2 linked regions of the Coturnix japonica genome follow. The protein of the gene in region 1 purifies or fractionates together with the protein of each later gene. This does not show direct contact. Links are inferred from orthologs where the notes say so. Each region holds a gene or a part of one and is shown on either strand. Other genes may lie near its edges.

The links.
Region 2: the proteins of RHEB (region 1) and RPTOR purify together in Homo sapiens (affinity purification with western blotting, with the first as the bait; 3 studies listed by BioGRID). This does not show direct contact. The link is inferred for Coturnix japonica from reciprocal best matches to the Homo sapiens genes RHEB and RPTOR.

Annotation. Positions count from the first base shown.
Region 1 is NC_029517.1:5,599,689-5,604,107, reverse strand, and holds the start of RHEB (GTP-binding protein Rheb), read left to right. Parts: upstream 1-1,532; 5' UTR 1,533-1,822; coding exon 1,823-1,874; intron 1,875-4,419. UniProt on the Homo sapiens protein: Small GTPase that acts as an allosteric activator of the canonical mTORC1 complex, an evolutionarily conserved central nutrient sensor that stimulates anabolic reactions and macromolecule biosynthesis to promote cellular biomass generation and growth.
Region 2 is NC_029533.1:4,972,427-4,976,238, reverse strand, and holds part of RPTOR (regulatory-associated protein of mTOR), read right to left. Parts: coding exon 3,803-3,812; intron 3,198-3,802; coding exon 3,132-3,197; intron 2,511-3,131; coding exon 2,319-2,510; intron 1,073-2,318; coding exon 932-1,072; intron 1-931. UniProt on the Homo sapiens protein: Component of the mechanistic target of rapamycin complex 1 (mTORC1), an evolutionarily conserved central nutrient sensor that stimulates anabolic reactions and macromolecule biosynthesis to promote cellular biomass generation and growth.

The sequences.
Region 1 (4,419 bases):
ATGCGTGCTTAATCCTGCTGAACAACAGGGGCTGTCCGTGCCCAGCTCTCAGGAGCAGCCAGTTTGCTTCAGAACCTTCACACCTCCCACATTTAATGTTTGCTAAGGGTAACCTACAGGAGAAAATATCATTCTGAATAGCTTCATAGTACCCTTGGATCCACATCACGTGCGTTATGCAAAACAAGAATGTTCTGCAGACGATGCTTTTGTCAGTATTTCTAAGCAGACATTAGAGAAAGATGATCTTTGTCGAATCCATGAGGGGCCAGGGACAAGTGTGGGATGGAACTGAGTGTACTTTCTAACCTCAGTGGGCAGCCATACATATGGGAGCACACCCAGTGCTAACATTGGGTGCAGTTCAAATAGCTCCTCCAGTAGGTGCTGGTTGGCCAGAGGATCGAGCAGGTAATTAAAGTGCTAATTGCTTTTATAGGAACTGAATGTACAAGCCAGATGTGTTTTGCATTTGGAACTTGAGTAGCGCTGTGTCCATGGGTTCGTATGCACTGAATTGCCATAAAAACATTGAACTGCTGGGTTACGTTTCCTAGAGGAAATTCATCGCAGACACAGGCAACAAAAGGCCGATGCTTTCCCATTTCTCAGCCTCAACATCTGTTCCTGATCTCAGTGTATATACACGCTCTATTTGTGCCGGCACTCTTTGTTTTGGAACCCAGACCATTGCATTCGTTGACCGCATCTGTTGGGATGTCGTTTATAATAAAACGATTATAACTCACCAACGATTGGTTGTACTGGTGTCAGTCACTCATTGCAGCGTTCTCTGAACTCCTTTGTAGCTCACAGGGTAAAACACTCTAGGAATGAAGATGCTGGATTAGCACTGGGGAGGGGCAAAGGGGAAGCCCTATTGCTAATGCTGCTGCTGGGAAGCCACAACCTCAGCACGGCAGGAAAGCACTAAGACTTATCCCAAGTAGAAGTGCTATGATACAGGTTACTTAGCCATGGAGATCCTGTAACTCACAGGGTTATAGGGCAGGAGATCCCGTAATCCACAGGGTTATAGGGCAGGAGATCCCGTAACCCACAGGGTTGTAGGGCAGGAGATCCCGTAACCCACAGGGTTATAGGGCAGGTGGGATGGGGTCTCTGGGCGGCCTGATCTGGGGGCTGAGGTACCATTTGTGAACCATGGCAGGGCATTGCAGCTGGGTGATCTCCATGAAGCCTATAAGATGGTCCCATGGCACTAGTAGAGGTTCATGTTGAGGTTAGGACTAACTCCTTCCTGTGGAGGACAGTCACACTGAGGTGATCCCGCCCCGCTCAGCCCCTCACACCCCACAACCCAACCGCCGTCTGGAGGCGCACCACGGCGCACGCGCGGCTTTTAACCCCCATCCAACCAATCCCCTCCCACGCATCCCCTTAGCCCCGCCTCCTTTCTTTGAAAACCGATCTCATCCAATCCCCGCCCTCTAACCGCGAGCAACTGCCCAATCAGCGCCCGGCGGGGCGTGAGGTGGGCCGGCATGACGCAGCGGGTTTGTGCAGCCGGCAGTCGGCGCGGTGTTGGCGGTGGGGGCGGTCGGTCGGTCCGTGCTGCGCTGCGGCCTGTGACGCGTGACGCACCGCTACGTGAGGGGACGGGCGCTGCCGCCGCGGGTTCCGCGCTCTCGGCCCATCGATCGCCGCCGCCCTCCAACCCCCCCCCCCCCCCCCCCCCCCCCCCATAACAACAACCAGCGCCGCATGAGGCTGACGGCGCACACGCAGCCTCCCGCCGCCCTCCGCCTCTTCTTCGTCCGCCTCCTCCCTTGATGTGGTTCGTGGCCGGGCGGGGGACAAGATGCCGCCGTCCAAATCCCGTAAGATCGCGATCCTGGGCTACAGGAGCGTAGGTGAGTGTTAAGGGGGGGGAGACGAAATGGGAACGGGTGGGTGGGTGGGTGGCAGGTGCAGGGCTGGGCCGGGCCCCGCGCAGTGCGGCCGGGAGGCGCCATGGCGGCGCCGCAGAGCGCTGCGGGCCCGGGAGCCAACGTGAGACTGTGCCCTTAATTGGACAGGGGACGGCACCGGGACGGGGGGGGGGAACAGCGGGGTGTACGGAGCTTTGTGCCCGTTTCCTCTGTCTGTAGACGTGTAGGATGAACGTACGGAGCGCTGCGGTGCCGGGATCGGGAGTGACTGAGTGGTGCGGTCGATACGGTGGAGGGAACGGGTGACATTCAGAGGGACCTCGACAGGCTGGAAAGCTGGGCTCGGGGGTTATGTTGAACCTAATGAGGTTCAACACTGTTTTGCAGTTGGGCAGGAAGAACCCCAGGCACCTGTACAGGCTGGGAGGAGTTGTCCTTGAGAGCAGCTCGGCAGAGAAGGACCTGGGGGTCCTGATGGACGAGAGACTCAACATGAGCCAGCAGTGCGCTCTGGCAGCCCGGAAAGCAAATGGGATCCTGGGCTCCATCAGGAGAGGGGTGGTCAGCAGGGATAGGGAGGTGATCGTCCCTCTCTACTCGGCTCTTGTGAGGCTCCATCTGTTGTACTGTGTCCAGGTGTGGAGCCCTCAGTACAAAAAAGACATGGGAGATTTTGGAAAGGGTCCAGAGGAGGGACAGGAAGATGATCAGGGGGCTGGAGCACCTCCCCTATGAGGACAGGCTGAGGGAGTTGGGTTTGTTCAGCCTGGAGAAGAGAAGGTTGCGGGGTGACCTCATTGCAGCCTTTCAATACCTGAAGGGAACTTACACCCAGGAGGGGAGTAAACTCTTGGAAAGGGCTGACAATAGCAGGACACGGGGAAATGGTTTTAAGTTAAAAGAGGGAAGATTTAGGTTGGATGTTAGGGGGAAGTTCTTCACTAGGAGAGTGGTTAGGCCATGGAACAGGCTGCCCAGGGAGGTTGTGGATGCCCCGTCCTGGGAGGTGTTCAAGACCAGGTTGGACGGGGCCCTGGGCAACCTGATCTAGTAAAGGTGTATGTTTGGTGGCCCTGCCAGGCAGGGGGGTTGGAACTACATGATCCTTGAGGTCCCTTCCAACCCGGGTCATTCTGTGATTCTGTGATCGTACGGCAACACTGAAGGAAAGAACTTCCCGGCGCCATCCAAGCCGGGAGCTGCTCTACAGCCCCACCAGATTCAGCGTCGTGGGGCACGAATGGAGCGGTGCGGCTCGGCATCGATCTGACTTAAAAGCGTAGATCGATGGGAAGGATAACGAGTGGCTGGGAAATAAACTGCTGTAGGAAGGTGCCGCTGTGCTGCTGAAGGGTTTGTGCTGTGAGTGGTGTGTCTGCGGTCGCACACTCAGCATCCGTAACAACGCCTTTTGCTTTTCCCAAGATTAAAAAAGGTTACATGAGTTGTTTAGATGCTGTGTGTGTAGCAGCAGCCTGGCTTCAAGGCTGGATAAACAGTGCTGTGTCTGTATGGTGCTGGAAGGGAGCAGCCTGCAGGAGGTTGGTGGTTCACATGGGGTGTCTAATACGGCACAGTCAGCCTCGGAGCTTGTCTCCTTATGTTTTCTTCTCCGAGTCCGGACTCAAACAAGCACTGGGCAGTGTGTGTGGGTAGGAGGAACGCTGTCAATTCAGTACATTGGATGGTCCAGGGGTAGATGATCCATTGAGCCTGACAGCACACATTGCACATAGCCATTATTAATGCCATTGCTGGTGTGACCCAGGATGATTTGGTGCTTGTATAGAAGGAGGTGAGCAGAAAGTTGCCTCCTGCCCATTAGGGTTTACTACTGTGCTCCTTCACCTGCAGCTTCATGAGACTGATGTGGTTTGGGGCTCTGTGGGACATGGTCTGTTCCATTAGGACAACTGCTTGTTGTAGACATACAGAAGAGAAGTAATAGTTTGCCTTTCATTAACCATGACAACTCTGTTGCCTTGCTTGTTCTTAGGTATAAATCTTGCATGTTTAAGCCACAGAGTTAAGTATGGGAGCTTTACGTTTCTAGGCAAATATTTACATAAAAGATCCAGCAATAGACGTGAGCTGTTGGGTGTTCTGTCATGTAGGGCTGTCAGATAAACAAGAAACATAGAGCATGACATGAAGTCAACCCAAGGATGCCTTGCAAAGTCCAGGAGAATTAACAGCATGGTTTGGCTTCAGATAGACTTATAGGTAAGTCTGATATCACGATGGCATGAATTCCACTTGAACCCTGGGTAAAAGACAGGATCCCATCCCAGATGAAATAAGGGATGTTACATTTGAACAGAGCTAGTTTTTGTCGGGGTGGGGGATAATTAATTCCAAGATCTGAAGGGCTGCTGAAGGCTTCTGAGCTTCCTTTTATAAATAGGGAACTGCCATTAACCTTAACGTTAGCTTTGACCCTGCAGTCTGGGAGGCTGCTCTGTTACACCGTGAAATGTTTCCAGCTCTGTGCCTTGAGTGAATGCTGAGGTGACCTGGGCTGTGGGGT
Region 2 (3,812 bases), on another chromosome or scaffold:
AGCCAACATGAGGACCATGCCACGTACCCACAAAGGACAGTCTGGCCAATCCATAGCCATTTCATTCCCATAGGTGCAGCTTAGGAACACTGAATTACAAAGGTGGGGAGGGAAGAGGTGGTGAAGTTCAGACCCATAGATAGGTATTATTTGCTGGGCGTGTGGAAATAGCCAAAAGGAAAGGTGGAGAACCAGCATTTCTCACTGTTCTCTGTTCAGAGGACGAAACTCCAAAATAGAGATTTATGAATCTCAGAGCATACAGTGGGACATGCAGTTCTCTCTTGAATTAAATTGATAAATGTTGGAACAAGACAGCAAAAATTAATCCTCACAATGCTGGTCGGTGACAACCTGTCAGGGTATTGATGTTCCAGTTAAGCAGACACGAGCGTTAGGACGTCTAAGTGCATCCCATCAAGAACAATCCAAAACATCAAAAACTGTTTAATGTTCTATTGTTGTACAGTGGTGCATCAGAAAATAACACTCCAGAATGTGAAGAATTCCTTTGAACCCATTTGTCATCCTTCCTTACGGTTTCCAAAAGCAACAAGATCTGTTTGTGAGCTCTCATGTTCTCTCACAGCCCTCTTACTTCCCTCTCCTCTTCCTCCTCTTGGACCACTGCACACTCCATGTTTCCTGCAACAGATTGCTATTTCACTGAGGTTGTGTAATGTGAAATGTTTCAATCAGAACAGGAACCAACAGAAGTGTGTTAACAGACAAATCCTTTAACGACCTGAAAAAGACTTCACCGTCACCACTCTCCTTCCTTACCTCCATCACTGCATTCTCTTTAATTTAAAAACAACAACAAAAATAAGAATCAGTGAAAAGTCTATTAAGTAACACACTCTGGTTCAGCACAGTGCAGAGCTTGGCAGAACAGCTCCACCAAACCACTGCAGAGCTGCCCTGTCCCTACCTTCCGAACCATGGGGCTCCCATCATTGATGAGCTGGGCCAGCATCATGGCCACGTTGTGGTCGATGGTGGTGGAGTGGTCGGTCCGTTCAGCTGAGTTGCCCACGAATGTTCCCAGTGCAAAGACGGCAGCACAGCGAACCTGGGAGAGGGAAACATTCCTCATTATCTTCCCCTTCGCTCTGGCCTCAAGTTTGCCATTGGGAGCTCTTATCCCCACAAATGGTGCCTCTGGAAACCCAGGCTACTGTGTCAAGTAAATAGCGAGGGCTGAATGGAAGCCCACAGAGACTAAGAACCAAACCAGGTTCATCAAAGTGCTGAGTTATAAGTATTCACAGATGAAGGAGTGCATTTAATTTCCCAGAATACTCAGTGACCTTCCCATGGGTGATTTTTCCAGTTGATACTGCCTAGAATATTAATTAATAGGAATAAGGCATAGAGGGAGTTACGGTTGGCATGTGAATCTCTTTAACAAGAGCACTGAACTCCAGTCTTCAGTTAAAGGCATGCAGAAAGGTAACAGAAGTTGGGAAAAAGAAAGAGACAGCAGCTGAAATCAGGGTAAATTTTGCCAGATCACACAAAGAACGGAGGGATCAGATGGCTGGGTAACCTTACAGTCTGCCTTGGCAGAGAGTGAAAACAGTGGGGATACAGCATAATCAGCAAGTGCAGGATGTGCTTCACAGAGCAGAAATGGTCACCCTGGCTCCTCAAACAGAGGTGCAGATGTGTCATAAAGACAGGTCGACCCGACCGCTGCACAAATACGGATTACAGAACGTGGGAAAGATTAGGCAAGAGAAAGGAGGTAGGAGATACAGGAGAGAAAGACTGGTGTAAAAGGGGAGCTAATCTTTAATGACTGCAAGTCAGCAGTGGCGTTTATCTCCAGGCTTACTTCCACACACCACGTAATCCCAGCAGGGTCTGACTGGCTCTGTCAATCACAGCCATGCTCTGCACAAGAATCTCTGCTCTCTTGAAGATTTGGTCATGAGAGTAAAATGCATTCAGTTAAAGATGTACTTTCACATGTGCCAGGAGAAGAACAGTTTCCATACTCGGATAGAAAGATGAGAGGGTTTTTTGAAACACAGTGAATTTTGGGACCGCTTTTGTTAAAAAGCCTCTGATACGCAGGCAAGTGAAAAAGGGGGTGCCTCCTTGTGCCAGTCCTAAGATTCTGTGACTTGGGCTGTATGAACAGCCCCTCAGTTGCTTCTCTCACAGGGCTTGTGTGATTTGAACCATCTCGAAGGAAGAGCAATAAGATACAGCCATAAAGCCCTTGAAGACACTGTTTTTGTAAGTATTTCTGCAGCCTGCTTACACAATTCTGACAGTCCGGCTGGTGTTTGTTTAAACAGTTGGATTCTTACCTCTGGGATTGGATCAGAGAGGAGGCTGTAGAGCTTTTCATGAGCGCTGTCTCTCACACCGCACCACCTGGCTGAGTCAAAGTTCTGCCAAATACGCCCCAAACAAATGGCCACCCACTGACGCAGGAGAGGATGTGGATCGTTCAACTGTTCCAGGCAAATAGCAATCAGGTTTCCTTGAAGGCAGGCTTCCTAAAACACAAATCAATGCCATTTATTTTGGTTGACAGCTTCCCACCTCATCATCAAAAAAGAAAAAAACAGACCAGAAACCAGGTTATATACTGATCCTGTTGCAAAACACCATTTGGAAGCAGCACAAGGGCAAAGTATACTGCATGCTATAGTAGCAAGTTGAATAGGTCAGCATTAGAAATACTTCCTGTAACGCATAAAATCTGTTTTTCTCCTCATTAGAGATACTCCTTTGCACCTGTCAGAGCCTTAAGGTTTATGGCTCCTTCCATACATCCTTCTCAAGAACTGTATCACAGCCATCAAATTCTCACTTGACAGAACTAGGCACTATTTCTCTATCAGCAGCACGTCAGTGCAGTGCCTGGAGGGCAGCTGGTGTGTCCTTAACCTCCTCTTCCAGTTGGCACATCCGGATCGTGTGCTTGTTACACCTCCAGGCCAATTCTTCTTTTACTCCACCAAAACAAGAACCAAAACCTATCGTGAAGCTATCTTCTATTTCGATTCTCCAGTTCAGGGTTGTGCACTAATGCGAGCCAAGGCACGTTCATCAAAGTAAAGGCACAATGCAGAGAAGAGAGAGACAACAGAAGGAGAGAGGATGCTGGGACTCACCTGTCCTGTGTTGTAGTTGTTAACAATTACAGCCAGAATAAAAGCAGTCATCGTCCTGTGTTCAGCCTTAAAACAACACACAACTAATTGTTATCTACAAAACGGGTCATAGAACAACAACCTTCCATGTTTTCTGAAACACGAGCTTATCCTGAATATGGTTTCTATCGCATCAAAAGAGCAAGAGGGGAGAGAAAGCCAGGATTTTCCTGTCATCTTGTCATACTCCTCAGACACTCCATAATCTTGTATCATCAGACTGCCAATACGATCCTCCCAACCAACCCCTGGGTATTGTTCTGGAGGAGGCATACAAATACTCATTACAGGAAACCACATAATAAAAAAAAAAACTTTTGCAGAGAGAATTATGAAACTTACAGCAAAATGAGCCTGCCTCTGCACCCAGCCCCCAGAAGCCCACAGCTCCTATCTTTCTGAGTAATTCATGCTTAAATATCTTTAGGCAACTTTGCAGCTCCCTGTTTGGAGGCTGCCTGCATCACGCAGCCCAGCAGCAGCACCAGCTCCCCAGGCAGTGGCTGCAGTGGGTCCCAGAGCTGGAGGTGGGAGCAGCCCTCATTAGCAGAGCTGTGTCAGAAAGCAGCGTACAAACCCCGACAAGCTGAGCAAGTGCTGGAAGAACCTGAATAAAGATGACTTGTTCTTACTGGCATGTAA